Linked DNA regions of Nothobranchius furzeri. The protein of the gene in region 1 purifies or fractionates together with the protein of each later gene. This does not show direct contact. Links are inferred from orthologs where the notes say so. Each region holds a gene or a part of one and is shown on either strand. Other genes may lie near its edges. The genes, in order: exoc5, exoc1, exoc3, exoc7 and exoc8.

Evidence for each region.
Region 2: the proteins of exoc5 (region 1) and exoc1 purify together in Homo sapiens (affinity purification with mass spectrometry; 4 studies listed by BioGRID and IntAct, counting the BioPlex papers as one, with this or other methods). This does not show direct contact. The link is inferred for Nothobranchius furzeri from reciprocal best matches to the Homo sapiens genes EXOC5 and EXOC1.
Region 3: the proteins of exoc5 (region 1) and exoc3 purify together in Homo sapiens (affinity purification with mass spectrometry; 7 studies listed by BioGRID and IntAct, counting the BioPlex papers as one, with this or other methods). This does not show direct contact. The link is inferred for Nothobranchius furzeri from reciprocal best matches to the Homo sapiens genes EXOC5 and EXOC3.
Region 4: the proteins of exoc5 (region 1) and exoc7 fractionate together in Homo sapiens (co-fractionation; 4 studies listed by BioGRID and IntAct, with this or other methods). This does not show direct contact. The link is inferred for Nothobranchius furzeri from reciprocal best matches to the Homo sapiens genes EXOC5 and EXOC7.
Region 5: the proteins of exoc5 (region 1) and exoc8 purify together in Homo sapiens (affinity purification with mass spectrometry; 5 studies listed by BioGRID and IntAct, counting the BioPlex papers as one, with this or other methods). This does not show direct contact. The link is inferred for Nothobranchius furzeri from reciprocal best matches to the Homo sapiens genes EXOC5 and EXOC8.

The regions. Positions count from the first base shown.
Region 1 is NC_091758.1:32,179,641-32,185,428, forward strand, and holds the end of exoc5 (exocyst complex component 5), read right to left. Parts: coding exon 5,611-5,788; intron 5,542-5,610; coding exon 5,394-5,541; intron 3,558-5,393; coding exon 3,449-3,557; intron 3,289-3,448; coding exon 3,168-3,288; intron 2,955-3,167; coding exon 2,868-2,954; intron 2,793-2,867; coding exon 2,684-2,792; intron 2,596-2,683; coding exon 2,380-2,595; intron 2,301-2,379; coding exon 2,112-2,300; 3' UTR 1,882-2,111; downstream 1-1,881. UniProt on the Homo sapiens protein: Component of the exocyst complex involved in the docking of exocytic vesicles with fusion sites on the plasma membrane.
Region 2 is NC_091748.1:40,498,957-40,505,621, reverse strand, and holds the start of exoc1 (exocyst complex component 1), read right to left. Parts: upstream 4,200-6,665; 5' UTR 4,107-4,199; intron 3,366-4,106; 5' UTR 3,355-3,365; coding exon 3,231-3,354; intron 3,165-3,230; coding exon 3,034-3,164; intron 2,947-3,033; coding exon 2,787-2,946; intron 2,504-2,786; coding exon 2,486-2,503; intron 1,887-2,485; coding exon 1,699-1,886; intron 1,112-1,698; coding exon 884-1,111; intron 796-883; coding exon 663-795; intron 576-662; coding exon 466-575; intron 1-465.
Region 3 is NC_091751.1:65,608,075-65,614,100, reverse strand, and holds part of exoc3 (exocyst complex component 3), read left to right. Parts: intron 1-276; coding exon 277-394; intron 395-1,757; coding exon 1,758-1,883; intron 1,884-2,076; coding exon 2,077-2,177; intron 2,178-3,501; coding exon 3,502-3,612; intron 3,613-3,889; coding exon 3,890-4,031; intron 4,032-6,026. UniProt on the Homo sapiens protein: Component of the exocyst complex involved in the docking of exocytic vesicles with fusion sites on the plasma membrane.
Region 4 is NC_091756.1:53,831,369-53,837,836, reverse strand, and holds the start of exoc7 (exocyst complex component 7), read left to right. Parts: upstream 1-2,602; 5' UTR 2,603-2,738; coding exon 2,739-2,798; intron 2,799-2,958; coding exon 2,959-3,024; intron 3,025-3,661; coding exon 3,662-3,846; intron 3,847-3,942; coding exon 3,943-4,048; intron 4,049-6,378; coding exon 6,379-6,468. Other genes in the region: tvp23b (Golgi apparatus membrane protein TVP23 homolog B), read left to right, coding at 772-900, 977-1,003. UniProt on the Homo sapiens protein: Component of the exocyst complex involved in the docking of exocytic vesicles with fusion sites on the plasma membrane.
Region 5 is NC_091742.1:10,761,376-10,768,060, forward strand, and holds exoc8 (exocyst complex component 8), read left to right. Parts: upstream 1-2,333; 5' UTR 2,334-2,482; coding exon 2,483-3,632; intron 3,633-3,795; coding exon 3,796-4,049; intron 4,050-4,192; coding exon 4,193-4,441; intron 4,442-4,556; coding exon 4,557-4,961; 3' UTR 4,962-5,282; downstream 5,283-6,685. Other genes in the region: DNA-dependent metalloprotease SPRTN, read right to left, coding at 1-160, 250-541, 617-745, 840-939, 1,325-1,656. UniProt on the Homo sapiens protein: Component of the exocyst complex involved in the docking of exocytic vesicles with fusion sites on the plasma membrane.

The DNA.
Region 1 (5,788 bases):
ACCTTCCTTCCAGCTTGATTGAGACTTTTTTGTGATTATTTCACTGTAAAAGTCTTACTTATTGCACCTTTAAGTAAAGTAACCATGTATTTGTACTTCCCTACATGACTCCTTTGATTTGGTAGCTTTCTAGGAATAGCCGACCTCAGTCTGAGCCACGCTCGTCTTCCTGCTCGGTCTGTAGTTTTTATTTCCTTATGCTTCCAAACGCGCGTACAAGAGTTGTTCGGAGTGACGAGTTAAAGAGGACGGTCTTATCCAGCTCTCCAGTGTTGACAATATTACTAATCCCCTCCACCTGCTCAAACACCCCCCCACAACCCCCTCTCCCTCCCCCTCCTCCGTACGGCGGTGCTGGGAGCCCCTGAGGGCCAGGCTGCGCGGCTGCCTCCATCTCTACACCAGTTATCGTCTCTGGCCCGGCTCCGCTCCACCCCCCCTCCCAAACCCCTTTCCACATTAATCGCTGCGAAAACAAATAGCTGTCAAATGTTTGGAAAAGAGCCGCTGTTTGCATCAGGGCCTAACTCAATAATTTTTACAAGCTATCCAGTTGTGATTAGGACAGAGAGAATTGAATTTATGTGGCATTGATAATATTAATATTAGCCTAATTTACTATGTTGTTTGAACTTGAACAGCACTGTGTACCTTCTACACAACACTAACCAGCCGGCACAGGAACTGAGCTCTCAGCCGTCTCTATCTCTCTGCCCCCCCCCCCCCCCTCAGTTCATGACTACTGCACACAATTCATCAGCTGGTAGATATCTAATCCCCTCTGGCTCGGCTCACTTCCTGAAGTCGGAGAAGGAACTTTACACTGGTGGCAAGAATTCCTATGAATACTTGATGACTTCTACAGAAAGGAGGACTGTTTCATCCCACTTTGAAAGTGACATTCACAGAGAGGAACGGGCAAACTTCAGAACATAATTATCCACACAGATGAACGATGATAAAACGCGTCTTTTATTGAATCGGGGTAAACAGCAGTACAGCGGGTCATGACCTCAGGTGATATGGAGCCCAAATAAGCCCTGTGTGAAGAAGTCCCTTTTTACCTTGGAGCCTTAATCACCAAAGGTCAACATTTTAGTGTCCTCTGACCCAGAAATGCAGCAGATCAGCCCAACAATGCTCAGTCTTGGATGAGTGAGTGCTGATCTGAGCAATTACAGTAACACACACTCAGTGACCCAAGCACCTGAGCCATGAGGGGACCACCCAAACCCTCCAGAGATTCTCAGGCCCTCTTTGGTGCTCAGATCACACTTCGCTGGGATCTCCTCCTGACTCAGCCTTTGTGGTTGGCAGTCAGAATATGAAAAGGTGGTCATGTGTCTCTTTTAGGTTATTTTTTTTACACTAAACCAACAACAAGATGTCAGAAAAATCCATTCTTTCTTACCTAATTGGCTGTTTGGATTGAACTGAGCCATTTTTAATTCATGCCCTTTGATCAAAGCTTACACGATCAAAATGTTGGTTTCTACTGAAATGTATTCTAGACACACTTGTGCTTGAGTCATGTCGGACACTAAAAACTGAATTAGTAATAACTTATGGAAGTTTTTTTTACCTTAATGAATAATGTATAAACTTCTCCCTGCACAGATGTACATTGAGTACCAGAACTGGAAGTTTCTGGTACACCGGCATCATGGCCGTTTCTACCTTTAGGGAGATGAAGCTCGGCCTTTGTGTGTTCCCATCATGCAGTGCAACTGCAGAGCTCGTGTCTGCACCCTGGTTGTTGACAGTTTCCCTTTAAAACAACACCAGAGTGGATTCTTGTGCACAAGAGCAGCTGCAGGACTTATATATTTGGCACAAGCAAAACATATTTTTAATGTTAGCAGAGATATAATTACAGTTATTTTAATTATAACATGAATTTATGAACAATTGGTGTTTAAAAACAAAGGGAATTCTAATTTGATGGACATTGAAAATAAAAATACAAAATGCACATTTCCCACATTTTTAGGAGCCTACAAGCAGTCTTCCACTGCTTGTAGTCTGTGTGATGATGCATCACCTTGAAGGTGCATCTTCTCATCAAAGCTCATTTATCCTTGGACGGAGAACAGCGAGCGTTCCGGGAGTCATTAGCTGAAATGTCGACCCAGTCTGGCTGACCGGTAGTCCGCCCTGAGCTGGACAAAGGCGTGCAGAAGGTTCCGGTCCAGGTTGGTGAGCTGCTCCCCCGAGCAGACTTGCTTCAGGTTGTCGGGAGCAACCACCAGCAGGTTACAGAGGGCGTGGAGTGTGTCGAAGAGCTGCAGCACCAGAGGGACCTGAGGACGGAGACGTTACAGCAGATGCATTAAACTACAGGTGAAGTGAGCCAAGCCGCGTTCAAAGTTCCTCTCTCACCCTGAAGTCCTTGGCGCATCGTCGGTACTCGGCCACGTCGCAGATGGCCAACATGCCCCCCATGGAGCTGTAGCTGTACTGCTGTAAATGCTCGTGGATGAGTCTGTGAAAGCGCACCCCCAGCTCCGTCAGCACCGTGTCCACGTTTTTCCCATCCATGGACTTCCGCACGTGCTCCACCTGCCGACTGACGTAGGCACACACCTTGGAGCAGGCCTGCCGAAGGAACCAGGAGAATGGTTTGTATCATCAACAAATGTTTATCTTAAAACGATTCATTTTATTTATGGGGCGAGTCTCTCACTGAAGTGCACTGGATCATGACATTGTTCTCATCCTCAGGCCTGAAGTCCGTTTTCTTCTGCTCAGTGGTCAGGACGTGCTTCATCTGCCCCACCATGCAGTTCAGTGTTCTGTGTGACAGAAACGCAGATCAGAAGGTTTCCATTTACTCATGGAAACAGATTTTACACTATAAACACATCAACCTGTCGATTCCCGTGTCCAGTTTCACCTCCATCTGCTCGATCACTTCTTTCTTCTTGTGCAAACACTCCGCCAGCTTTGGGGAAGAGCTGTAGACGAGAGTGAATTCAAAGGCTAACCCCCTAATGAAAGCACTGCTCAAAAGTTAAGCATCACTTAGAAACTTCACTGTTTTTCATGGAAACACATAAAAGGGTCCTATAGTCGTGTTTATGTGCGTTTCCATGGAAAACAAAAACATTTCTTGGGTATTTGCTAAAGAATAAAGTACACAAAAACTAGAATGCTGGCTTGTATCCGACCTTATTAAAGGCATCAGCTGGTCATTAAACTGCTTGTCAAACAAATGGAAGATGGAGTTCGCCTGCTGAACCACGTCCAGGAAGTACAGGTTGGCATTCTTGGCATCAGATGAAGGAATCGCTGCAGATCAAACAGACGTGAGACCAGTCAGATCAAAATGTAGATGAAAGCATCATTTTTATCATTTACAGTAGGTGGACTCTTAAAAAAAATGTTCATTTTGAGAAATGATCTGGAAAGACCAGACGGACACATTCTGTTGTCACTTAGACGTTCGTACCTGCGAGGCCGATCTCCAGGGCGTAGTCGATGTGCTCCACACACAGATGTTCCACCAGCAGGAGGAAAATCGAGAAGGCGTTTTTGGGCAAATCAGAAGGATCTGAAAGCTGTTAAATAAAAAAATAAAAAATAAACATTTTTCCTTGAGATGCTCTCCACCAACGACCAATGAATCAAATATTATCTCAAAAAATAAAGTTTTAACCGCCTCTGAAGCACACAGTCCTGAAAAGACCTTATCCCCCTTCTAAATGATTGGATCATAACCCATCCATCATTGATCTGCACAGAACACTGTGTGTGCAGGACATGCTCGCACTCGGTGGAGCAGCCGAACAGGAAGAGAAGCTAGCTGAGCTGCTTTGGTGTCATGGACGAAATGTCCTGTTCCGTTTGCAAGTCTCATTTGTTTTACACATCCTGTTCAGAGTCTGGTTCTGTTCCTGTTGGGAAACGTTTAGGTGATGGAGGTTTTGTTTTGGGAATGAAGAGAAAAGTCTCAACTCTGCGTGGGAACGAGTGAGTGTGTGAGTTTATGTGTGCTAGGGCTGGGCGATGTGGCCTAAAATCAATGTCACGATATCCCGAGGATTTCACCTCGATAACGATAAATGTTCGATTTATTGCCTAGCCCTAATGTGTGCACTTCACCCTGAGCAGGCGGAAAGGACAGAGTTCAGTTCGTGTTCTAGAAGTTTTGTTTGTGCTGGTGGCAAAGAACCGTAGTGGTTTTGAATTTTAGAATAAACCAAGAAAGCTGAAAACTGGATTGTTTTTCACCAAAAAAAAAAACACCAAACGCCACAAAAGCTAGCATTCTAGTTTGGCAGAGGGGACACGCGGGAGGAGGTCTGCTTCGGAGTTGGATCTGAACATTTTGACCTTAGCAGCTCAGCAAACCTGCGTGTGTGTGTGTGTGTGTGTGTGTGTGTCACAAGCAGATGTTTTACCATTTTCTGACACCATCAGATTCTGTAACTCTAGGGGGGAGTTTGAAGAAAGGGATTGGTACTTAGATTTTTTGTTGTAGCTTGCTTGAATGCATTTTTCCAACAACACATAATCCATCTTTAAAGGCATACTATGCAACATTTTCCTTATTCTACATAACTCTCTCGAGCCAGTATGTGCTAAAATGACCTTTTACAGTGTTAATGAAATGCCACTAAGACCTCCACCGCCCTCTGTGGCCAGAATATCACACTTGCAACTTCAGAGTGCCGGTCCAGTCTCTGCTGAACTTAGTAAAGGGGAGCTGACATGCCTGGCACTGCAGTCTGCTTCCAACACGTTTCCTGTTTGTTTAGATCGTGAACACAGCTGATTTGTTTGATTTAGTGATGAATCACTCCTGTGGAATCTAATGAAGGCTGAGGAGACATTTCAGCAGTTAGATTATGGGGTTCAAAAGTCGACCGCAGAGCGACAGCGGCGCCCACAAGGGGTAGAAAATGCTGGCCACGCCAGAGAAGACCAATGTTCTTTGATGAATCATATCAATGTTCACAGAATATTATTTAATTATTATTTAAACCCAATAACATATACAATTAAAGAATAAATAAATAATCAGATTTTTAAAAAGTATACACGTTTCTCCTGCTCAACACGTTTAAATCTCTAAAGTTTTTATAGATGTTTTTGTGAAAAGTTCTTCAAATCTGAGGTAAGTGTGTTGGATGCATTTTGTGTTTTTAATTAAAAAGAATAAAGGAGCATGCAATGCATCAACACAGGCTTGCAGAGCTACCATACGGACCAACCTGGTGTGCCACCCCCAAAATTTTCTCTAGCCCCACCTGGCCACCCTATGAATTTTTTCTGGGGGCGCTACTGCACAGCGAGGAGGTAGTGGGAAAAAAAGGGAAACCTTAGGGAACACTAGGATGTGCTAAAAGCAAGCCAATCAGCTGTTCGGTCTGCAGAAAGCAGAGACGGCTCACCCTGTGGCATCTCTCAAAGGCATGACGTGTCTCCTGCAGCAAGTTAACAACCAGTTCTGGGGACAAGAAGGTCTCCCCGTGGGTGTCGATGCTGGGGCCCAGTGGAAGATTGGTGCGCTGTCTGATCCGCTCTTTCAGGTCTTGAATGCTTTAAGAAGACAATTAACATTTCCAGAATTTATTATAACAGGTGACAAAGCTGAAGTTGAAAACAGACCCGCTGATGCCGATGGGGCGTTTCTGGTGGTTCTTGGAGTCGTAGTATCGTTGCAGAATCTGGCCGCCTCGAGTGCGAAGGTATTCCCTTTCCATGTTGATGTAAGTCTCCAGGTAGGAGGAGAAGATGCTCTTTATCAGCTTGGACAGGAACGTATGCTTGTCTGAGCCCAGGTTGA
Region 2 (6,665 bases), on another chromosome or scaffold:
GAGCAGAGTGGGATGATTCAAAGTGAGCAACAAGGAAAGTCGTGAGCGGGAGGGACACAGCTGCTAGGAAAATAACACAGGAAGCCCAGGAAGAGAGCGTCAGCTAAAAAGGAAGCTCACAAGGAGAAAAAAGAGCCAGGAGACCATAGGTCTTCATTGTTCAAGCTGATCAAAAGCTGAGTCTGATTTCTGTCCCCGTAGCTTCATAGTGCTTATTCTCTGATGTATATAAACAGAAAAAAAGCCACGTCAAACCAGATATCTGATATTTTGTGTAGCTTTGTTGTTTCTGTGTAACAAAGCTGATAAAAATGACATAAGGTCATGTGACCAGCCACAGCCAGTCATGCTACAGCAGCATTTAACATGTTGTTGCTTTTAAGTTAAGGTACAGAAAATCCACATGAAAGAAATTGTCCAGCCTGAGTAGGAACACGGTTGTAAAGGACAAGACTGAGCACTCACCTGGTGAACAAACACATTGTTAAGGTGATTGGTGAGGCGGCGAGCAAACGTGTCTCTCAGCTCAGCAAACAGAAGCTGCTGCTGCCTCACAGCCATCAGCTTTTCATGACCTGAAGGAAGTAACGTACACTTTCATTTGATTGAACACTAAAAAAAAACTACAAAGTCAATTTATTTCTGCAGAAGTTACTCAATACCTGGCCGCAGAGCCACGCTCATGCACTGCAGCAGAGCTTCAGAAGCATTGATGCAGGCCTCTATCCCTTTAGGGGAGGTGAGGTCTCCTTCCTGCAGAGCCCTGATGTGCCCCTTTGACAAATCCATGTAGTTCTACAGGAGGAGAGAGGAACCAGAGTCATCTAACAACACACTGTGACTCAGTGTCACACACACACAACTGTGTGTTATAGCGCCTCACCACTAAGAACTGGATCTCATCCAGCAGTTTGTTATTGTTGGTGTTGCTGATCTGGATGAGACGGTTGCTCTGGGAGATCTGATCCATCTGATCCTTGACGCTCTGGAGCATCTCCTCGTAGCTGCTCAGCTTTCCCTCAATGGTGTCCACCTCTGTCAGAGCTTCATCCAGCAGCTGCATCAGGATATTGACCTGCTTCTCTGATGCCATGATGGACTGGATGTTGGCCTTTAGGAAGACACAGATCCAGAGATGCCTTTTTGGTTAACTCATTAACTGCTATTGACGACTAAAGTCATCATTTTAAATCCAACCGCTCGCTGCCATCAACAACTAAAGTCATCAATTGCATTTTATTACTGGGCAGGTGTGGGAACAAGCCCCCACACCGTGAGAACAAACATCCCGGCTCCAAAGCTGATCTTCAGCCGCTCATGTCACACACCACCTGATCAGAAAATCCATGTATTAGGAGACCGTTTTGGGCCGCCGCTGTGATAAAGGTGAGGTGGGAACCGGAGAAGCATCTGCCATGACGACGGATTATGAAAGAACAGATAACTCTAGAAACACGCGGATCCGTCCTGATGTGGGAAGTGAGTCTACCCTTTGTTTTGGTGATCTTGGAGTTGATTTCATCATTGAGCACAACGTTCTGTGACTCTTCAAAAAACCGTTAAAACGCTCAAAACCACTGGCAGCGAGAGGCTTTTCTGATCCGGAAACTGCTGGCAGTTAATACGTTAATGATTTGGGTTTTCTGAGAAACTAGCAAAAAAAAAAAAAAAGAGAGCGTCAGTGACTGCTTCGCTCACCCCGTCTAAAACTTGCAGCTCCTTGAAGAGCTTCTCTGCAAAAGCTTCGGCGTTAGAGATCGCGTACTCGCACGTCTCCATCATGCTCTCAATGTCCTGCTCCTCACGAGTGCTGAGCTCTTGGTAGTCATCCAGGGCATCCTCGTCGCCTCCGGCAACACTCTGGCTCTCACCGCTCGGCACCGACTCTAAGTCCATGAAAATAAGTGAAATTAGGAATACAGATGATAATACCAGAAGCACTGCCATTGTTGTCAGATTATTTTTTATTATTTCTTTGATTTAAATAAATAGAATCAAAGGTATTTAGAGTTTAAAGAAATGCTACTAAAGGCCGTAAAATCTCATTTATTACCGACATCTGATGATAATGTAGCAGGGATATGAACACAAAATGAAAACCAATCTCAGGCAGTGGCATGAGGTCAAAAAGCACATACATGAGCTAAATTTTATTTAGTGTTTATTATTAGACTATGACTATTTTAATACATAACATGTAGAAGAGGTGAGCATAAACTATGTGTACAGTGCACTAATGCCACAAAAAAATTAAGTCATGACTTAATGTGGAATAGATAGAATAGCTGAACAACCTAAGTTTGTGTTACAGTTGATGTTATAATTATCATTAGTATTATTATGTCCTCCATGTTTAATTACATGATTTAAATCACAGGAAATGCAGGAAAACTAGAATCTTTGATGAAAATGGTGGCTTGGGGTCATGAACAGTATAATGAAGAGGTAGGAGGAGGGATCAAGCGGAAAGTTTATTCCTACCAACCTTCAGCTTTAGGAAGCTCTGGCCACAGAAAGATCAAGAGAAAAAGAGTGAGAATAAAAAAAGAACTTAACAAAGAAAACTACTGACACAAACCAACATACAAAGAAGAGGCTTTCAGTTTTAAAAACATGCTACCTGTAAATAAAATCTACCAAATTATGGAGGTATACACATTACACATGCAAAAGGTTGTAGAGTTGTAGAGCTTGAGGGGAAAAGATGCATCTTTAAAGAATTACAATTAAGTTATAGTAAGGAGCATGCAGACTCTGAGCTGGCTGAAGTTTTAGCATTTACCCACCTTCAAGGAGCTGAGAGTTGACGTTGACAAACTCCAACTTCTTCCTTAGATAACGCTGGTTCAGCTTCCAGATACAGGAAATGAAGGAGTTTTTTTCAGCTGTGCTGCTAGCCAACCATCGGTAAACCTTCTCAAAATGAAGATCAAACTCTGGGTTTTCCTACAACGTAAACAGAGCATGCATCAGTCCTAACTGCAGAGTGCTGAACCAATAGGGGACGCCATGACAGACCGTGTGACCTCTAACCTTGCTTGCATCTTTGGCATCTACTACTGTCAGGTCTCGGAGCTCCCAGGTCTGCTGTCTCTTATAAAAGTCCCCCTTGTCAGATTTCTTCACCTTAACCACTTTAACCTGGACTGGCCTCTCTGTGGTAACTGGAAAAAAAGTCCTTTTATCATGAATGTTCTTTACAGGAGCTTCCGCAGCTTTCACACACATACCTGTAGCACACAAGAAGCAGTTTTTCTTTTTCTTTCCCGCCTTGCAGACATTAACTATGCCGAGAAGACGCTCGTCGTTGGGTGTGAAGATGTCCCTCTGGAGAGCGTGCTTTATGGCTGTCATGGTGGATCGTACTGTCATACAGAACAGAACAAGTCATGAATCTGATCAACGCAAGACGTATCTAGTGTTCGGTTCGTGATTTCCAGTTAACAATAAAACACATATTCAGAGTAGGAACTCAGAATGAAGTGGGGAGGGGGGGGGGGGCGGATGAGTGATTCAAACACCACCAACATTACAGAGAGCGAGGCCCTTCAGAGAACACAAGAACCAAACTTCAAAAATATCAGACGTTTCACGGAAAAACATTTAGAGATTCAGCAAAAAATCCCTAAAAGTTATATCAAGTCTTGATTTTTTTCCTTTGCTATCGAAAAATTCTTTAGTCGTTTATTTAACCCAATTTGACAGTTTTTAGCAGCACAGGAAAAGGTTACTGACTGGTGCTTTTGCAGACTGCACTGTTTACTGTTTAACGTATACATAAAGCCGGAGATTGAATCTGAGAGACTATCGTAGTAAATGTTTCTATTAAGCAATAACAAGCTACCAAACCCCGAATTAAAGGGTTCTGAAGCAACTTAGGTCGTGTATGTGGTACAGAATCAGCACTAGTTCCTATAAAAACGTTGTCCTCTCTCCGGTTAGATATTAGTCCTAGGCTAGCATTGCTAAGCTATCGACGATCAGCAAAAACTGCCCAACGTGCATTGTAGCTACATTCACAAATGACTCTACATTGCGTGTTTAGATATCGTAATCAAAATATTCTATAAATATTGAAAATAGTATAGATTTTACGTAGCATTTACCTTATTTTCATCCGCTGCAGCCCTTCAAAGCACCGCCCTCTCACTTCCTGCTTCTCGGCCACAGCTGTCATGTGACAACCCAAAGGCCACGCCCACTGGAAATACTAAACCCATTTTAATGATAGTTTTTTTTAAAAGTTATTGGTCATTTTCAGTAATGTGCGAAATTCTTGGAACGAATTTAACTTATTTAAAGCAGTAACTGAACAACGTGTAAGAGCCAACCCTGAACTGAATCTATTGCTGCTAGGAGCCAGGTCAGTGCTTCTGTGCACTACTACACCTTTACAGTTACAAGTTACTTCTGACACCTTAACATGGGCCTCTGTTTACATTTAGATTAATTTGACTCAATAATTTACTTGATATTTTAGATATATTATTACCATGTTTACTTTTATACTTTCACATTATGCGCCTGAATGCGTGTATGTGTGTGTGTGTGTGTGTGTGTGTGCGTGCGTACGTGCGTGCGTGCGTGTGTTAGATGATGTTGCCCCTTTAAAAAAGAAGGTAATTAGGGATAGGCGGTTGGCTCCCTGGTTTGATTTTCATTTACGAACTTTAAAACAAAACTCTAGAAAATTGGAGAGAACACGGTGCTCTACACACCAGGAGGAGTCCTACTTATCCTGGAAAAATAGTCTTGTGCTTTATAAAAATAAGCTTCGACAAGCTAGAACTGCTTATTTTTCAGCGCTAATTGAGGAGAATAAGAATAATCCAAAATTTATTTTCAGTACAGTTGCCAAACTTACACAAAATCATAACTCTGAACCATCGATTCACTCAGCAGTAACAACTTTATGGAATTTTTCACAAGTAAAATTAATTCCATTAGAAACAAAATCTTTAGCATCCTCCCTAATGTGATTTCTTCTTCCTCAGTAAGTGAGGCAGCATCAGAGGTAACTGTAGAACCTCATCTGTGTTTGAACCGTTTTGATCCAGTTGAGCTTTCAGAGTTATCAAAAATATTAGCTTCATCTAACTTCAACTTGCAATTTAGATCCAATCCCAACCAAATTATTTAAAAATGCAATTCCTTTGGTTACTGCCCCCTTTCTAGGTATAATCAGTCTATCCTTAGTAAATGGGTATGTACCACAGGATTTTAAGGTTGCTGTAATCTAACCTTCACTTAAGAAGCCTTCTCTGGATCCAGATGACCCAATGAATTATAGACCAATATCTAACCTTCCATTTTTATCCAAAGTCCTGGAGAAAATAGTGGCCATCCAAGTATGTGAGCATTTAAACACCAATGCTCTGTTTGAGGAATTTCAGTCTGGTTTTAGAGAGTATCACAGCACTGAAACTGTATTAGTGAAAGTTACAAATGATATTCTCATGGCCCCAGATAAGAATCTCAATCAATCAATCAATCAATCAATCAATCAATCAATCAATCAATCAATACTTTATTAATCCCAGAGGGAAATTAGAGTTTCAGTACACACAATTCAGAGATCAGACATACATGGGCAAGACACATGACAAGAATTGGTAACTGTGGTCATTCGCAACCCGAGTTGGGCTACCTTAATAGAGATAAGAGGGTTACATGAGAGTTGGATCAGGTGGAGACTCCAATAGGAAGGCGGGGGGGGGGGGGGCTGGGATCCTGATTCCCCCAGCGGAAGCAGCCATCCACGGCGGTCATCTGCTGTACAGTCACAGGTGGGAGGGAGATCTTGGGAGAAGCGAAGAGCACATTGTCTCCAGCAGATTGATGACCTTGCCAGGTTGAAGTCCACCAATCCAAAGGCGGGGTGGGGGGTGGGGGTGGGTGTCGGGTTTTTACAGCATCTGTCTGCATTCCTTCGTGGGGGTTTGTTGCTTGCCGCTCAAGTAGGGATGGGTACCTTTGACATTTGAATCGATCCGGTACTAATTACCGGTACCTACGAATCGATACCGGTACTTAACGGTACCAATTTTCGATACTTTTGACTGTTTATTATTTTAATTCTCTTTTATAATTAAATATATTTTTTCTCAATATATAACAATATTTGATAAATATCACAATAAATAACATACAACTGTTTGTATTTTAACATCGTCCTTGTAGTTTTATAAGCTGATAATTAAACTGAAGCAAACATCTTTACTGTGAACTAAATTTACTGTGTATCTTTATTCCTTTTGCCGTCTTTTTTCATTTGATTTTTCCTACTGGGAAGTTAGAATTTCCGAGGAGAAAGCGAACGCACCATTAGCTGATAACAATGGTAGCAATGGAAGCTAAGATATCAAGCTAACAATATCTTAAACAGTTTATTTAGCTGCTGAAGCAGATTAAAACGATGATGCCTCACACTTAGATCGTCGCTGGTTTCGTCTTCACCCGTCACATTTAGTAACCTGAAGCCAAACTTTAGAGCGCGTTCATGTTGTTCTAGTCGGGAATTCAGAGTTTCGAGGAGAAAGCAAACGCACCATTAGCGAAACGGAAGCTAACATATCAAGCTAATTATATTTACCTACCGGAGCAGATTAAGATGAGGATGTCTCACTTAGATCATTGTTGCTGGTTTCATCATCACCCAGTTACCC
Region 3 (6,026 bases), on another chromosome or scaffold:
AGATTTAAATTCAAATACAGTGCAGAATTTTTCCCTGACGACGGCGCAACACTGACAATTTTAGGCAGAATATTTGAATTTTAACCAAGATGCACTGAACTGCCAAATTATTGACTACACGTGTCTGTAGCATGATTAGACACTCCTTTATATAGTTTATCAGCAAAAAAAATGTGATTTGGGGGTGACTTGCTCTTTAAAGAATGTTGCAGGGGTGGGTTGTGTGTGTGTGAGTGGGTTCTTGCGGCGCATGTAACAGCCGTGTGTGTGTTGCAGTGTTGAGATGATGGGCCATCCAGATCTCAGTTCGGAGTGTGACATAAATCAGCTGGAGCCGTTGCTGCCGCAGGATGTGGTGAATGAACTTCTCAGCAAATATGTGAAGACTTTTACCGTGAGTGCCACACCATGGGTGGATGGGTAATAGCTTAAATATTAAAAAAAAACATGAGAGAAATCATAAATAAACAAATCTGATACAGAGAAACAAAACAACCTTAGACTTAAACTTTCTAATTCAGCTCCTCAGGGTTGAGTCCGCACACCGAGAGCTGACCCACACAACTACGTTTATTTGATTCAGAGTTTGCTCGACTCGCATATTTACTCCTCAGAAGTATGAGAGTTGGTCTCTTAAGCCGGGCGGACACTGTGAGACTTTTTCACTCGTAGCACTCAGCTTCAGCTCAAACGGTACGACTTCCTCGCAGGGCAGATCTCACGAGTCATGCGCTCACACTGTACGTCTGGTAGCAACACGTCGGCCCTAAAAATATGCTAAAAATAGCAGTTTTTATTCAACACGTCAGACTTTTTTTGTCTTGCCTGTTGTCCTTCGGGAGTGCTGCAGGGGGACACACAGGGATTTATGGGGGTTGGATGAGGAAAACGAAATAAAGAAAGTAAATCTGTGTTTTGTGATCAGTTTAATTTGACATGAACACGACAAACACGCTTTCTTGACAATCTTTGTGAGTAAAAAACACGTAGAAATAAAAACGAACAACGTGTGTTGTTAGGAAAATAGCGGGCGAGCGGTGTTGATGCATGACTGCGCATGCGTCGTGGGCGGTTCTGGTACTTTTGGGTCGCAGCCGCTCGCAGCGCCGCTTCAACAGTGCGATACCCTCACGAGGGACGAGCGAAATATCAAACACGCCAGAAGTCCGTGCGAGCTCACGATTGCTGATCGGTAGCTGGTCACGTGGTGTTAATGGCCTCTCGAAACCCCCTGTACACTACACGACGCTCGGCGCAAAACTCGCCCCGATCTCGTGGATTCTCGCACGACTGGAAAATCGGCTCAAAAAAAGTGAAAAAGTCACACAGTGTCCGCCCGGCTTTGCTGTGAAAACACTAAACTGGTTTTATTTGACCCGAGGACCCACAGATCAGTGATTTTAAAGACCAGAACCGAGGTTCGGCGTTTATTTATGCTAGATCAAGGTCACTGTCGACGGTGACGCCGGGCCGTTGTGAGGCCTCCCAGTATGCATCGATGAACCATCAAAGTTAATGCTGAAGTTTAATTCTGGGGTCTGTAAAAGTATTTTCTGCAAGAACCCCCGAATGCTTCAGTAATATCAGAGCCAAGATCATCTTTATTGTTGTTGCCCCAGCGTCCCAGAGCACAGGCCAAGGTTAGACACAGACATGGAGAACAAAAACAGATACAGGCGGGCCACGAGAGCAGCCGTACAAGGCGCTCAGTGTGTGTGTGTGTGTGCGCGTGCGTTTGATGGATTGCTTGTTTCCAGTCTAATATAACAGGCTGGCTGAGGAAGGCCCTGGAGACGGATAAGAAGGACTGGCAGAAGGAAAGCGAGCCTGAGGCAGACCAGGATGGGTTCTACCAGACCACGCTGCCAGCCATCGTCTTTCAGGTGAAACACAAAGTTCTGTTCTCTCGACTTAGCTGCAGAACCCTGATTAACTGAACCTGCAGGGTGTCTGTTGTTAGTTTGGCTCAGAACCAAGGAATTTGCATGCAGTAATGTCAGTTTGTCTTCCCCATGATTGGTCTTTCCTCTCTCTCTCCCCTCCCTCCCTCCCTGTGGTCCATCAACTCTTTTCTAGATGTTTGAACAAAATCTTCAGGTAGCTGCACAGATCGATGGAGACTTCAAAGAACAGGTTCTAAAGCTTTGCCTGAAGCAGATGCACTCTTTCCTCGTCAGGTATTTGTTCTTATACATCTTGAGACTTTGGTCTTCGCCCCTCATTCATTCAGAATTCATTCATTTGTAAATTAAGTCCAATTGAATTAGTTTGGTAAAACACAATCAGTTATTGAATGTCCTCCAACTCAGAGATGGATTGAGGAAATGAGTCAGTGAGCCCCTGGGCTGCTGTGGCTACATTGTAGCTCATTATCTTCAGTGTGTGAATGGGTGAATGACTAAGGGCTGTTATATACTTGCTGTTTGATGACGCAAATGCTATGGGATGCCATTTGTAAAGTCTAACAGTCACAATCTAACAGCAATATTTTTGGTTATTTAGCATATCATAAGAGAAAAAATTGGGAGTTCACTTTTTCGAAGTCATATTTTCATCATGTTATTCATACATTTATAAATGTTAAAGTTTCCAAATAAATATTTAGTTAGCAAGCTAAATATTTAATTTGTAGTTAAATATTTATTTTGCAAACTAAATATTTAGGTCTGATCTAAATATTTAGTTTGTAAAATAATTATTTAATTCACTAAATATTTAATTTACTAATTAAATATTTATTTTGGAACTAAATATTTAATTTGTAAATTAAATATTTATTTTCCGAAATAAATATTTAGATCCCAGCTAAATATTTATTTTGGAGCTAAACATTTAGTTTGCAAAATCAATATTTGGGAAATAAATATTTAAGTCTGACCCAAAAATATAAAATATAGTGTGGAGCTAAATAACATTGTGGAAAATAAATATTTAGCTGGTACTTAAACATTTAGCCAATATGCTAATTCGCTTGCCAATAAGCGGAAGTTGGTTACCAAAATAAATGCTGGATCTCGCTAACTTCTTTTTAAACTCTTGCTCCGAACCAGAACTTGTTTTATCTCCGGTTCTATTCTTCTTCAGCCAACACGTCGGACATGTTCAGAAGAATAGAACCGGAGATAAAACAAGCCCAAGATAAAGTCGATTTTGGTTCCGTTTATTTACGTAGTGCCAAATCACAACAAGAGTCGTCTCAAGGCACTTAACAAAGTAAACATTCCAACTGAACATCCCTTATCAGTGCACCAAGTTAAGTTTCGTAAGGAAACACAGCAGATTGCATCGAGTCACTGACTTGTTGTGTCAGAGACTTTAGTTTACAGCAATCCCCATGCTAAGGTAGCATGTAGCGACAGTGCAGAGGAAAACTCCAGCAGATCCTGGCTCAGTATGAGCAGACATCCATCGAGACTCAGTTTGGGGTTTGAGAAGATGATTTACAAGCCACGATTGTGTGTGTGTGTGTGTGTGTGTGTGTGTGTGTGTGTGTGCTTGCAGATATCGGGAGGAAGCTGTTGCCTACAAGGAGGAGCACCTGAAAGACAGACAGCTGCCTCAGTGTTATGTACAGTACATGATAGCCATCATCAACAACTGCCAGACATTCAAGTAAGTTCTTATTTACACCTTCTAGTGCCTTGGGTTTACCAGGATGTTATCTCCAGTTGCGTTAGGTTGGACAGACTGGTGTATTTCTGGGACCATGAAGGAGACATAGAGTCTTTTGGGGGGCAGGTGTAAATGAGTTAGAACGTTACAGGTGAAAGTAAAGCTTTGTGCTGATTAGCAACCTTGCCTTGAGTTTGCCGCCTTGGCTTTAGTGTTGCTGCTTCTATCAGATCCAGGTAGAGGTGTGGTGATTGTTTTGTTGCGTGTTTTTATTCAGAGAGTCCATCAGCAGTCTGAAGAGGAAGTATTCCCGGTCCTCGGAGCTCAGCGACAGCGACGCTGCTATTGACAGGACACTAGGTGAGGTGGCCAAGGAGGGCTGCCAGTTCCTGTTAGACGAAGTCTTCCTGGATCTGGAGGTAACACAACTCAATTATGTCCAACTTTTTTTTCAGGACTTTATTTCCTGTAGTGTTTTGTAAAAAAAAAAAAAAGGCCTCTGAGGGAGTTGGGAGTGATTTTGCGTCGCCCGTACGTGGGTCACCAGGGCCCCCCTCTGGAGTTGGGGAACTTTAGAAAGTGCCTGATGGCCGGGACTTTACCCATGGAGCCCGGCGGGGCACAGCCTGAAGAGGAGACGTATGTCCCCCTTCCCCTGAGCTCACCAATCGTGGGAGGGGCCAAAGAGGTTTGGTACATTGTGTGTCGGGTGGTAGCAGAAGGCAGGGACCTTGGTGGTCTGATCCTCAGCTATAAAAGCTAGCTCTCGATACATGTCGCCTGTCTGGTGGGGAAAGAGCCGGAGTTGGTGTGTGAGGTTGAGAAGTTCCAGTTAGATGTAGTTAAACTTACCTCAACGTGTGGCTCTGGCTCTGGTTTCCTCGAGAGAGGTTGGACTTTCTACCACTCTGGAGTTGCTCCCACTGAGAGGCGCCCAGCAGGGGTGGGCATACTTGTTGCCCTCCATCTTGGTGCCTGTACGTTGGGGTTCTGTCACAAGCCATCTTCCCACACTAGCTGACTCTTTAACAGATGTTACGTCTCAGGGTTGACTTGTATTTCTATTTATGCGTGGGCGTGATATTCAGTCGCTCTCTATGACTGCCTGCACACTATAGGAGCTGATCAGCGATCACCATTAACCTAGACCAGGGGTGTCAAACTCATTTTAGCTCAGGGGCCACATTGAGGGAAATCTAGTCCCAAGTGGGCCGGACCGGTAAATAAAAAAAAAAACTTCAGATTGTTTTCTTTGTTTTCTTTGTTTTAATACAATCAATATAAAACGAGGCTGGAGCCTGAGGACAGTGTAGTACAAGTACAACACCTGAAGTGTACTTGAAAATTTGAAAAAAATAATCAATAAAATTAAAAAAAAATTCCTTAGTGATTCAAAGAGCTTACAGATCACATGGCTAGATGAGTTTCATGCAGCACTTAAAGTATATTTGACTCATTTTACTTTACATCTTTTAGCTTCACCAGCACATCAACATCAGAAGTCACATCCTGAGTGGCGGCCAACTTCAGGAAGTGATTCAAGTTCTTGTGTGAGCCTTGAGCGCAGCTTTGTTTTATTTATACTCATTACAGAGGAAACTTGCTCACAAAGATAAGTTTATTTTCACTCTACATTGTAAAGTATGAAAATAAAGTTTACACAACCATCTCATGGGCCGGATTTAACCCGCTTGCGGGCCAGATCCGGCCCGCGGGCCGCATGTTTGACACCCCTGACCTAGACTCTGATCCCAGCCAACAGACTGCTTGCAGCTGAAAGGAAGACTCGGTTCAAACCCAAACACATCTTTTAGTCACCTGCAGCTCATGTATTGCTCAGGTTAATGACTCTAAAATGACTGGCCTAAACCTCTTGGAGTGGGATAACAAGTAACCAGCATCTCACCTTTTTGGTTACACGACACCAACGGAGACCCCAGGCACCCAAAATCCTTTTAAGTTTCTTACAGTAAGAAACCAAGGTTTTTATTTAATAGGATGAAAAAAGATGAATCCAAACAGAATCACCCCAACGCAGCGGGTAAGAAAAAACACAGAGCTCCACCGAACTCGTACAGAACTCTCCCAGAACTCAGAACTCTCCTGGGCCCCCCTTTTTATTACTTTACTTCCCCCTCCTTCTTGTCTCCTCTTCGTCTCCATGACAACTCCCGCTTCAGGAAGCACTCTGCTCAGCCTTGTGACTCCTCCCAGCGTCTCTTGCTTGGTGTTCTTCAGGCTTGTGGTCATCAATCGACAGGGCGAGGCGAGCCTTCCTTGTCTTCTCCAGGGGTCTGCTTAAGCCAACCATAAGCATATCCCAGACGCAGCGTCTACCCTGAATCTTTATTGCATTCTGGACTAACCCCACAGAGGTCAGTAAAAGGCTAAAGCCACAACATATATTCACCAAA
Region 4 (6,468 bases), on another chromosome or scaffold:
TTCCCACTGCATATTAGTATAAACTGTATTTCTCTAAAATTAACACGATTGTACTCTGAGCACGCTAAAAAAAGAAACCTATGCCATACTCACCCTGCCATGCAGGTACAGTTGGCTGTGAAGACGTAGTTCTCTGGTTTGTTTACTATGACCCAAGCCTCGTACATAGCAGTCTTGCGTCCTTGTCTTTGGCTAGGAAGGACTTCTGCCTTCAAGACGCAAAACTCAGAGTCTATGTCGTGATATTTTACTTTCTGTACGTGGCCACAGACAACATAGTTGTATGCATCTAACGATTTGTATGCCCGTAGCTTCTCACGTGTGTACTTACTGGGCCTCTCCACTAAAAACGTATATATATCGGGCCACTGGATATCTGGCCACGCACCTACATCTTCCACCCATTCCGTAATGCCACAGAATTCCGGGAGTCTGTTGCCATTCGTTAAAGTGAGTTTAATAATATAACATTCAAGATTTGCCGGTGATAACCCCGCAGCGTAGCTTGATAAAGCCTGACACAACGCCATTCTCTGTTGCCAAGCTGCGCGCGCATTCTCGCTGACGTCATATTGTTTACAAACAGTAAAAGGGTCTGTTGATCTAATGGAAGCTAACGTACAAAAGCTACTAACGATCAAAAGGTTAGAACCACCTTGACCCTCAGAAAAACATTTTGAGGATTGTTTTTATAATGTGGATGTTCTTGAATAAGCAGGAACAGACTGATTTCCCAGCTTTTAAGTGATGACGCTGCTGTATTTGTGCCAGCCTTTGGTGATCATGGGTCTGGTGCTGCAAGGGGCCAACCTGTACGGATACGTCAAATGTAAAGTGGGAGCAAAGACCAGCTTAAGGAACATGGCCACTAATTATTTTGGCAGACAGTTTCTCAAACAGGTGAGTTGATCTTTGAGTGAAACACAGCGAAGAATCTTCTCCTCGTGTGTGTTTATGAAAACTGTTTTATTTTCAGACTCTGTCTAAAGAAGAGGAGTCGTAGAGAGCAGCGCCACACATCTACATGATACCAAGTGGACACAGTTCAACCTCCTCAACATAACAGCTTTTGTTTTTCCTATCTTGTGTTTAATTTAAAGTTTTTTCTTTTCACTTTCTTTGTAAAGGTAGAGGTTTGGCTGCTTTTTTTCAGTAACTGAAACTGATTAATAAATCTGTACTCATACAGGCATGAATCATTCAAATGACTAGTTTGTGCTGGAGCCTCATGAATCTATCTTCAGTTTGTTTTCATTTCCTAGAACTAGTTTATGTAATTGTAAAATGTTAATCAGAGCGTTTGTATGAATACATTTTGCATCCATAACAGTGTGTTCAGATTTGTAAATATGTATACAAACTATGAGAACCAACTTCTTGTCTGCAAATACATTTGTAATTTTTGCGAATGGTGTGTTTTTCTTATTAACCCATCAAAACAATCCTATTAGTCATGTTAAACACACCTGTGACCAGTGTAAATCCAAATGATCTCCCCTGGAGGGAGTCAATTTCCCTCAGCTTGTAATGCTGTAGTTAGCTGGGGTAAGCACTCCACAACTATAGTGTTTATAAAAAAAACTTTTATTGTGTTAAGATGAAGGAAAGGCATGTTTGGGTGAGTTTCGTTCTTGCTGACCCCTAAATGTCATTCAGGACTATTCAATTCTGCTTCTGGATTGCTGGTATCCAGCATGTTTTAGTTTGAACTGCTGCAGCACACCTGATTTCAATCAGCAGGTGATTAGCAGGCTTCTGCATAGCCTGATGAACTGCTGCACAGGTGATGCAATCTCTGAATCAAGTGTGTTGGAGCAGAGAAATTACTAAAACATGCTGGATACCGGCCCTCCAGACCCGGAATTGAATATCCCAGCTATAGGTTTTTATTTGGAAATTTTACAGGAGTAGCAAATAAGATAATGTAATGTTATGAATGTAGTTCTCGGTTGTTTTTCTACTCTTCCACTTTCATAATAATATACCAAAAAGAATAAAAACAAACACAATTTAATTGAAATAAATAGGCTAATATTTAGAATCAAAGTGAAGTTCCGTTATTACTCCACTGGAGGTCGACAACTCGTTCACTGCAGTTTCATTAAAACGGTTATACTTTTATTTGCTGGACTCGCTCTAAATGATTTGCTGTTAATAATTAGTGTAAAGACATGTTTCCTAATTCAAGTATCGTGGTTTAAATTCAATTCAGATACCGGAAAAGACTAACACGCCTCACCGGATACTTTCTAAACATGCCTTCAAAATAAACTCAAACATTTATGATGTTTACAAGTAAACAAATTAAACTACAAACAAATTGCGAAACCTTAACACCATTAAACATACTCAAATTTCTAATGTTCAGTTTTACATTTAATAGCTCAAGGCTTTAAAAATATCGGATGAAAGCTAAGTGCTCCCCTGCCGAAACCTTTCTATGTAGTGTACCCCGGAGTTTTATCTGATATAAATAGACACAGATATTTAGATCTAGAGTCAATATTTGATGTCAAATGCTCAGTAAAATGCATTTTCCGATCTGATCTCCAAGTGTTGATTTATTCTGAAATGACAGCCGGAAGTTACGGCTGTTGGGGCTGTCCAACCTAGTTTGTGATTGCTACCTTTAGCTTTTAGGAACTGTGGCTTTTGCTAGTTTTTTTTAATGACCTAAACAGGTCTGTAATCGCTCATTCCTCCTTGGAGACAGCCCTTTGACGGGAACTAACTTCAGGATGATTCCTACTGAGGACGCGTCCGCCAGGAAGCGGGAGATTGAGGAGAAACTGAAGCAGGTCAGACTCCGATGGACAGGAAGGGGCTTTATTCTGCCCAATTCGGTGCTTAAAACGAACAATAACAGAGTCCAGACACCAGCTGAGAGCAAACTCTGATCGTTCTTAGTGTTTTCAGACTGTTTGTGGTGAGCTGTTGATTTTCTGTGGGATGTTACAGGAGCAGGAGACGCTGTCATTCATCCGAGAGAACCTGGAGAAGAGCGATCAGCTGACCAAAGGCATGGTAAGAAAACAACACAACATCCGGGTCACCTAACGAACAAACGTTTCAAAAGTTACCAATAAAAAATTATAAGGTCAAAGGTCAGTCTAGGTTTCAAGGGACACGTTTCGTTTAATATACAGTTATTAAAGCGACCAATCAAATAAAATCCCGTTTAAAAATTAAAGCAGAAAACATAAAAAAAGATAAACATTTAAGATTGAAAGTTGAAAATAGTGACTTTACATGTGTCTGAAATGTTTCAATGGATGTTGTTTATTTGAAACTGCTATTTAATCGTAAATTGTTAGTTTTTTGTCTGTTGAAACCTTTTTATTATTTTGTATTTTATTTATCTGAAGCCCACTTTGACTAAACTAAGACAATTGTTTCCGTTCATGTGGGACACTGCTAAGAGTTTATTATATATTATATATAAGTATTTATGGTTGTAATCTAAACTCGATTTCTAATTTTATTATACATGAATCTATGACTTTTTTTTTCAATAAAAGCACAAACTATCTGTTAGGTTCCAATGATTTAAAGGGATTTTGTTCTAAACACAAGTTTTCTTTTGTCTGAACCGAACTAGAAGCCCTATATTTATATTCTCAGTGTTTTGAACCTTTTGTTATTTTCTTTCTCATCCTGAAAGGTTTCCATCCTGTCATCGTTTGAGAGCCGCCTAATGCAGCTGGAGAACTCCATCATCCCGGTCCACAAGCAGACAGAGAACCTGCAGCGACTGCAGGACAATGTGGACAAAACTCTTTCCTGCATGGATCACGTCATTAGTTATTACCACGTGGCCAAAGACACTGACAGGATCATTCGAGAGGGGTGAGGACTGTCTCTGGAAACATTAAATGGTTCTGCTACTGGTATTGAGTCATAACGTGTGTGTGCGTGTGCGTGCGTGCGCTTGTTGTGTCTCAGACCTGCAGGCAGACTGGACGAGTATCTCGCTTGTATCGCAAAGATCCAGAAAGCTGTGGAATACTTTCAGGACAACCACCCTGACAGCCCTGAGCTCAACACAGTGGTACGATCTCATCCTGAATCTGTTTGTCCTGCTACTAGGACACATTTGACTGAATCCTCTCATTGGTGCTAAAATAATTTATTCTGGTGGTGGAAAAAAACAGCCGAAAGTCCAAATCAAAAATAGAGTATGACCTTCAGAACTCCTGAGAAACTGTTGATCAAGATAACTTTAAAGGGAACATAACTTTTTTTCTTAAATTATAACAGTTCTTTGGTTGATACCAAATATGTTTATGAAGTTTTTTTGCACCAAATCCCTCTTACGTTAAGTGATTTCAGTAGTTTTATTCTTGACAGTTTTAGTATCTTCCAGAGTGAGCCATTACGTTGCTTTAGGAAAACAAGCTGTAATTGGCCACGCCCACCCATCCCACTCACTCAGGCTGCTATTAGCTGAGAAGCTTCGATATCCAGGAAAGGATCAGAGTAACCCCTACTGCTCAATGGAAGCATCAGCACTGCAGAAGAGCAGCAGAGCGTCACTGCTTCAAATAAAACCCATTCAAATCTATGGGGGTGATTCAAACCAGCCGCGACTCGGCCATTTTCAGATGCATCTCAGAAGTGGCACACCGCACCGCTAAAGATGGGATCGTGTTCTATTTTTGCCGCGAGCCGCTTCCGGGATGCAACAATTAATGTAGTGCTAGACAGGAAATCACACACGATTTCAGTGTAAAACCCCAGTAATTTTCAAAATAAATGTATATTGCAGCGATGCGACTTCACATTTATGTAGATTACATCAATACAAGCGACCCAGCGGCTTATTTACTCCCTGCATCATTCCAGAAGTGCAGCTGTGTGTTTTTTATGGCTTTTGTCCTGGCAGTTGAGAGGAACAACATCATATATGTCAACAAACGTGATTTCCTTCTTTTTGGTTTAATGGCGGACGACATAAACTTGAGGGATTTTGTGATCTCGCGAGTTAAGCAAGGAGGATGGTGGAAGTCTCGAGGGATTTTGTGATTCCGCTGGTTGAGCGAGGAGCACAGCAGAGAAGCCGCTTTGCAGCTGATACTCTCCCGGTATGCTCTGGAGTGCAGCAGTTGTTGCAAGTAAGTCTTTCTGCTGCTGCTCCGTGCCACAGATGCTTCCAGTGTGCAGTAGGGGTAAGCCACTGGTCCTGCAGCAGCAGTTCTCTCTTGCACATGAGGGGTAGTTCTAATCTACTTTCCCTGTTTGTGACATCACAATTGGGGGATTTTTGAAACAGCTTTTTTTAGGCACTTCATTTTTTAAACCAAACGCTGACAGAAAAGAGATGGATGGATTTTTCATGTTTAGAGTGTTCATTTACAGTTCAGTTCATTTTTATTTCAAAGATTTCACACATGTATCATTACAAAATATAATTCCATTATTTGTTTGAGAAGGAGTAGGCAGAAGTATTTACTTATTTGTCCCTACCCCCAAGTTTTACCTCTTATTCATTTAATTTTCTTTCAGTCTTAAATTAAACAAACAACATATGAAAAAAAAATATAAAAAAACAAAAACAAACAACATATAGAAAACAGAGAATGTGTAAATTTGCAGTTTCACCAGTTATGGAGAAAAAAAGAAAAAAGAAAAAAAAAACACCGAAAAAGAAGCACAACAGCATGACCAGCCACATTACCGTCCTGGGTTAACCCTGTTTTCTTCATTCTTATACTTATTTAAAATTAGGTTTTTATATTTTACTTTAAACTGGTTTGTTTTTACTTTCTTTTATCTCTTCTGTTGGACTGTTCCATAATTTAACTCCTGCAATTGCAATTGACCTAGTTTTTAAAGTTGTTCTAGCACTTTGTATTTTTAAATTCAATTTCCCTCTTAAGTTATACCCACCTTCTCTTTGTTTGAACAATAAACAGATTTCTTTTGGAAGCAATTTATTTCTTACTTTATTTACAATTTAACACCAGCAGTGACTTTCCACTCCCATTATTACCTGTTCAAGTGAAAACATCAATAAAACGACTGAACAAGAACATAGTGACAATATAAATAACAGTAACCATCTATCATTTTAGTCATTTGTAATAATTTACATGAAAACAACTATTAGTATTTAAATTATTTATTTATTTTACATTTAATTGGGTTTTTGGGGCCCATTTCAGGACCACAAACTTGGTGTTTCACGACCCACAGTAAGGTCGCGACCCCAACTTTGAGAACCACCGTTTTACTGTTTGCACAAATTGACTAGGGCAGGGTACAGAGGATGTAATGGTCAGAGCTAAGAGTCGAAGCAAAGCTTAATATTGACAGTAAATCACATAATGGTACCTTTAACTTGTTCATTACGAGATAACAGCTTGGATATTATTTCTGCAGAAAGCTCGTTTTGAGAAGGGTAAAGAGCTGCTGGAGGCCGAATTTCGGAGCCTTCTGAACCGCTACAGTAAACCCGTCCCCCCAATTCTC
Region 5 (6,685 bases), on another chromosome or scaffold:
GAGACGGTTTTGGTTTGGTCAGGAACGGAAGACTTCTTAGGAGTGGAGGCGACGCTGGACGGAGGTGCTGAGGGAGATGTGGAGGTCTGGCACGTCGCTCCTAAGAGGAAACCTTTCCCACTGAATGGGATGATGTTCCTTATATCCTGAGATCCAGAACCTGAGCAGAAAGAAAGAAAGAAATGTTTTTGTATTTGGTCCTGATGGCAAATCCTGAATAAACTACTTAAAAAAATAGAAAAACTTCACCTTTACTTGTATTTAAAGGCTTGCCAGTACGTAAAGTCTTCTCTGAGGTGTTTGCATCCTTCTTCCCATCTTTTTTGCCTTTTTTCCTGTATCCTTCTGGCTCTTTGATCTTGGTGTACGTCCCGCCACACATCCTTTGATGATCCTCCCACCAAGGGTCCAGAGAAGATGGAGCTCGGTTGATAGCCCTCTTCACATAACCAAAGAAAGGCCTCCGGCTCTGGCAGGGCCCATTGCACCTCCACCAGTGCTGCCTGTAGACATCGACCTCATCATGGAAGCTGTGGTAGATCTGACCGAGGGACAAGAGGAGATTGTTATCGTAAAGTCAACCAAAACCACACAGAGCTGAAGGAGAAACACTTACTGTGATTTTCGTCCCACTGGCCTTGTTGATCCTGTTCATGTGTTTGCAGAACTCAGGACCGTGGCCTTCTCGGTCTCGGTTGTTCTGGGTCACAAACAGCAGTGCATGAATCATTTCATGAAGGAGAGTCTGTGGAAACAATCAAATTAACAAATTATTAGCAATAATCTGGATGAGGATTTTCTGTCTTTAAGATCCACTAATGTAAAGTGACCCATCCCACCTCCACCAGGTCTTTTCTGGGTCTCAGCTTCAAAAGAGGCTCACTGAGCCGGATGGAACAGAGTCCGCCTCGGCCTTCGTAAGAACACACACCAGCACACCTAGGTACGGAAACACACAGGAGGCATTTTCTCAAAACTCTGTTATTCCTGTAACACAGCGCTGGAGTGGAGGACATCAAAACAAGAAACAGGACACATTTTATACAATAGAGAAGGCCTTAACATTGCATAGAAGCACAAGGAAACCATAATAGAGCTTCATGAAACTGGACATTTTTTGCTTTTTTAGAAATTATGTTTGACATACTTTGTGTCAGATATTTAGTGGTACCCATTTGTTTAATCTTTTACCTTATTTTTCTTCAATAATGATGTTTTTCCAAGCATCTCGCGCTTTGTGGCTACCATATTTGAATCCCAGTAAAGCCAACAGTGTTTATAAACATCCCTGCTGTAGGAAATCTGGTGAACAAACAAAACTTACAGTGTCATTCTGGGGCTCCACTTCACCTCGACTCCGCTCAGTTTCCCCCAGAAGAACAGGCTATTAAACTCCAGAAACATGGCCCTCACATCTGGGTTTGGGTCCAGCATCTCCCAGGACTCATCCACGATGCTCAGGGGTTTCTCAGGCTCGTGACCCGGCTTCCAGGAGGGGACAGCAGCGCTGCCACCTCCGGCTGCTTCCACTTTCCGTCTCTTACTGCTTTGTTCGAAGTAATTATCCTCGAATCTATTTGATGAGGTTAATGACGTCTCGTACTCATTATCGAACTGCTCCTGTAATTTAATGGCAAGCAGGAAATCCGCATCCATGACATCAGAAGGCAGCTGTGCTAGCTTGTTAGCTGACTTGCTAATGTAAATAGCACGAAGTTCTGGAACAAACGACGTCTGCAGCCTAATTATAAAATCAACCTTTCAGAGAAACATCGGTAAAAGGACTGAAGTCATGACTTTGAAAGATGAATCTCATCTTCTTGTCAGCCAAAGGTATCTGTAATAATAGTCGGTCTGTCCACAGCTCGCGCCAAACAGCAGGTTTGCTACATGTACTACATTACAACGAGTCTCTTTCCGTATGAACTTCTAAATAAAAAACTACTTCAAACTTAATTTCGTGTTTGATTTGGCTTTCCCCGCTTAGTTTTGTATCTTATTTTAATCAGCAGATGACTAAAATTAGCTTGTTTAAACGCTGTTGAAAATCTGTAATGTTTCTGCAGCTACCGTAAACTTCCGGTAGGTAAATAGTTGGACAACAAAACACCTATTCCGGGTGTTGTTCAATAGCCCAGTAATCAGTAACAACTGCAAAATAACAACACACAAAAAGCAAAATGAGTAAATAAATAAACAGAAGCTTTAAAATAAAAATAAAACATTGTTTGGTTTACCTGAAAGATCAATAACAATTTTGTTCTGAGTTTTTGTTGATCATCCTTTTTGTTCTCCCTTCTCGTGACGTTCATGTGACGTTGACAACCCGGGTGTTGGAGAAGCCAGATCCTTTTGGGGTGTTGACCTGTTTTCAGCTTCCTGTGTTTGTTGACGTGGATATGAAGGCGCTCGTTCTCTGTTTGCGTTTCTCGTCAGTTTGTTAACAGTTTTGCTTAATAAGGAAACACGCAGACAACCAAAGATGTCGGAAACCGGGAACCGACTTCGGAAGCTGCTGGAATCGCCCAACTTCGATCCACAGAACTACGTCAAGCAGCTGTCACAGCAGTCGGATGGCGACAGAGACCTTCAGGAGCATCGTCAGAAAATTCAAACTCTGGCTGATGAAACGGCCCAAAACCTCAAGAAGAACGTGTACAAGAACTACAGACAGTTCATCGAAACGGCCAAGGAGATCTCCTTCCTGGAGAGCGAGATGTACCAGCTGAGCCACATCCTCACCGAGCAGAAGAGCATCATGGAGAGCATCACTCAGGCCTTACTGTCCACAGACAAGGACGAGACCTCCAAAGAGATGCAGGCAGCGTTCCCCAAAGAGACAGAGGACCTGAAGCAGAGGACTCTCACCTCACTGCTGGAGAAGGTGGAAGGAGCTAAAAACATCATGGACACCCCAGGGAGACACCTGGTCTACAATGGAGACCTCGTGGAGTTTGATGTGGACAACATGTCCCCCATCCAGAAGGCTCATGCTTTCCTGATGAATGACTGCCTGTTGATTGCCACCTGGCTGCCTAACCGCAGAGGCACAGTGAAGTATAAATACAATGCCCTGTATGATCTGGAGAGCTTTGCTGTGGTCAACGTAAAGGACAACCCTCCCATGAAGGACATGTTCAAGATTCTCATGTTCCCAGACAGCCGCATCTTCCAGGTGGAAAACAGCAAAGTCAAGAAGGAGTGGCTGGAGATCCTGGATGAAACCAAGAAAAAGAAAGCCTCCCAGGACAAACACAAGAAAGAGGAGGAGGTCCCCACCTCTCCCGTGCGAGCCGAAGTGTCCAACAACCCTTTTGATGTGGATGACGACGAGCCGGCAGATGCCGAGGAGAGTGTGGACCTCAGTCTCGAGTGGATCCAGGAGCTGCCCGAGGACCTGGATGTGTGCATCGCTCAGAGAGACTTTGAGGGTGCAGTGGACCTGCTGGACAAGCTGAACGAGTATCTCAAAGACCAGCCTGCGACCCAGACGGTGAAAGAGCTGAAGGCGAAGGTGGATGAGCGTGTGCGGCAGCTGACTGAGGTCTTGGTGTTTGAGCTGTCTCCTGATCGGTCGCTTCGTGGTGGACCTAAAGCGACCCGGCGGGCCGTGTCCCAGCTCATCAGATTAGGTCTTTATTTGTATTAATAAGATCTCACAGACCATTAAAATGTTGATTTCCCAAAACCAGTAAACATTTCAACACAAAGCCAGAGTAGTCCTTGGAGAATCCATGCCTGTAACAATTTAAAGTTATATTTCCAACAGTTGATGATGTCATTTCTGTGTTTCAGGTCAGTCCACCAAGGCTTGCGAGCTGTTCCTGAAGAACCGCGCCGCGGCTGTCCAGACGGCCATCCGGCAGCTCCGCATCGAAGGAGCCACGCTGCTCTACATCCACAAACTCTGCAACATTTTCTTCACCAGCCTGCTGGAAACTGCCAAGGAGTTTGAGACGGACTTTGCGGGGAACACGGGCTGCTACTCTGCCTTTGTGGTCTGGTCCAGATCGGCCATGACGATGTTTGTGGACGCGTTTAGCAAACAGGTCAGCAGAGGCTCAGCGATGTCCCTAACATGAGTCAAGAAATATGTTTCGATCATTATTCTTGATAAAAAAAAAATCAAGATCAATTATTGTTCCAATTATTTCAGAAAATGATTCAAAACGGCCAATTTTCTGTTTTCCAGGTGTTTGACAGCAAGGAGAGCCTGTCGACAGCAGCAGAGTGCGTTAAAGTGGCCAAGGAGCACTGTCAGCAGCTGACGGAGATCGGCCTGGATCAGACGTTCACGCTGCAGTCGCTGCTGGTCAAAGACGTCAAGGCAGCCCTGCTGAGCTACAAGAACATCATCATTGAGGCCACAAAACACCGGAACTCTGAGGAGATGTGGAGGAGGATGAACTTGATGACCCCTGAGGCTTTAACTAAGCTCAAGGTCGAACAGCCTTCCTTAATTCCCAATTTTGTGTTTGTTTCTTTTGTTTGAAGAAGAAAACTAAAGAAAATGCGGGTGTTGAGCAGCATCTAAGGCTTTTCTCTTCGTCTTGCAGGATGAGATGCGTAGCTGTGGGATTAGTTTCCAGCAGTACACGGGCGATGACTGCTGGGTGAACTTGAGCTACACCATCGTGGCCTTCACCAAGCAGATGATGAGCTTCCTGGAAGAGGGTCTGAAGCTCTACTTCCCCGAGCTGCACATGGTGCTGCTGGAGAGCCTGAGGGAGATCATCCTGGTGGCCGTGCAGCACGTCGACTACAGCCTGCGCTGTGAGCAGGACCCCGAGAAGAAGGCTTTCGTCCTGCAGAACGCCACCTTCCTCCACGACACCGTGCTGCCAGTGGTGGAGCGGCGGTTTGAGGAGGGTGTGGGGAAACCGGCCAAACAGCTGCGGGACCTGAGGAAGAGCACGAGGCCGGTGCGGATCAACCCAGAGAGCACCACATCCTTAGTCTGAGGCCGACAGGAGCTTCGACGGCTCGTTTAACAAACCGCGTGAGACTGAAACGGCGGCCGGTGGCCACTCCCCCCTTCCCTCCCTGTCATTTCACCTCCCCCCTCAGACCCGATCCACAACACTAACTACTGGGTGTTTAGATGCTGCAGGAAGGAAATGATGGTAAAATGAAAGAGTCAGTGATGACACAGTCGGACGTTTTATTTAAAGTTAAATTTTCCTGCTGCAGCTTGTTTAGTTCTCAGTTCTTCGGGTTAATAATCCATCATACAAAACGCTTCAGTCCAATGAAAGAATAAACCGACCTCTGCTGGTGTTTGACCTCGTTTACGTGAATATTTTATCTTACAAGGGATTCCTTATGTTAGCAAAACATCTGGTTTTAGGAACGTTTAAACGCGTCAAAATGATTGTATTTTTATTGTCACGTAAAGCTTAAACACACGAGCATGTGACGTGGGGATGACTAAAATTAGCACTCAGATATTCTGTTAAATTGTGGTTTTTGTCTGCAACCAGTAACCTTGTTAAACATACTGTTAGTCTTTTTTGTTTTTAGTATAAATGGGAACTGCAAAGTTTTTTTTTTTGGGGGGGTTGAAATGGGTCCCATTTATTCACACCTGCAGCTTATGCATGCAAATCCATTCAAATCCAATAAAACATGAAGGTTGCTGTTTAATTTTAACAATAAGAAGAACAGAAAATGTAATTTGCAATAAAAACTAAAGTTTAAACTTCACAGAAGTTTCTTTTTCATGTTTTTTTTCTTTCAGAAACTACAAAGTAAACGTTTCTGGTAAAAAAGATCAAAGGTTTAGTGGTTTGAAACGGCATCCTTATTTACAGCTCTTTCATTCCTTTTTGCTCACCTACTAAAAGTCAGATTTAGATTTTTTTTAAGCTTAACGCATTAATTTATGCCTTTGTGTGAATGGCTCACTGTTTATGACTGATTATTATAAAAGTAAAATAAAAATCACTCATAACTGATAGGTAAAGTATAAGTGAAGTGTTATGGGATCATAATTGCTCAAATGAAACTAGGGTTAAAAAAAAGGCTTTTAATTGTATTTCAGTGCCTGATTACGAATCCTAGCAGTGAGATTTGTCGCCCTCTTGTGGCAGAAAAATAGAAATTAGGCTTTCGTTGCTAAAAATGCACAGCTTTACTTTCAATTTTGTGGTTAGTCTGCTAAAAAAACAGCATTATTTATTAATTTGGAGCAACAGGGGGTTTAAAATGATGTAGAATATTATTAATAATAAAGAAACAATATTATTTTAAGCTATAAGCACTAAAATGTCATATTCGTTAACTTACTTTTCTAACTATCTATCTATCTATCTATCTATCTATCTATCTATCTATCTATCTATCTATCTATCTATCTATCTATCTATCTATCTATCTATCTATCTATCTATCTGTCTATCTATCTATCTATCTATCTATCTATCTATCTATCTATCTATCTATCTATCTATCTATCTATCTATCTACATATATATATATATATATATATATATATATATATATATATATATATATATATATATATATATATATATATATATACATATATATATATATATATATTAGTTCAATAGATATTTTTCAATTTTAGTTTAAAACATTTAAATTAATTTAAAATATGAGATTCAAAACAATTTAAAGGGTTGAAAAGCTACATTTAAAGATTAAAGAAGGAAAAACCTGTGCC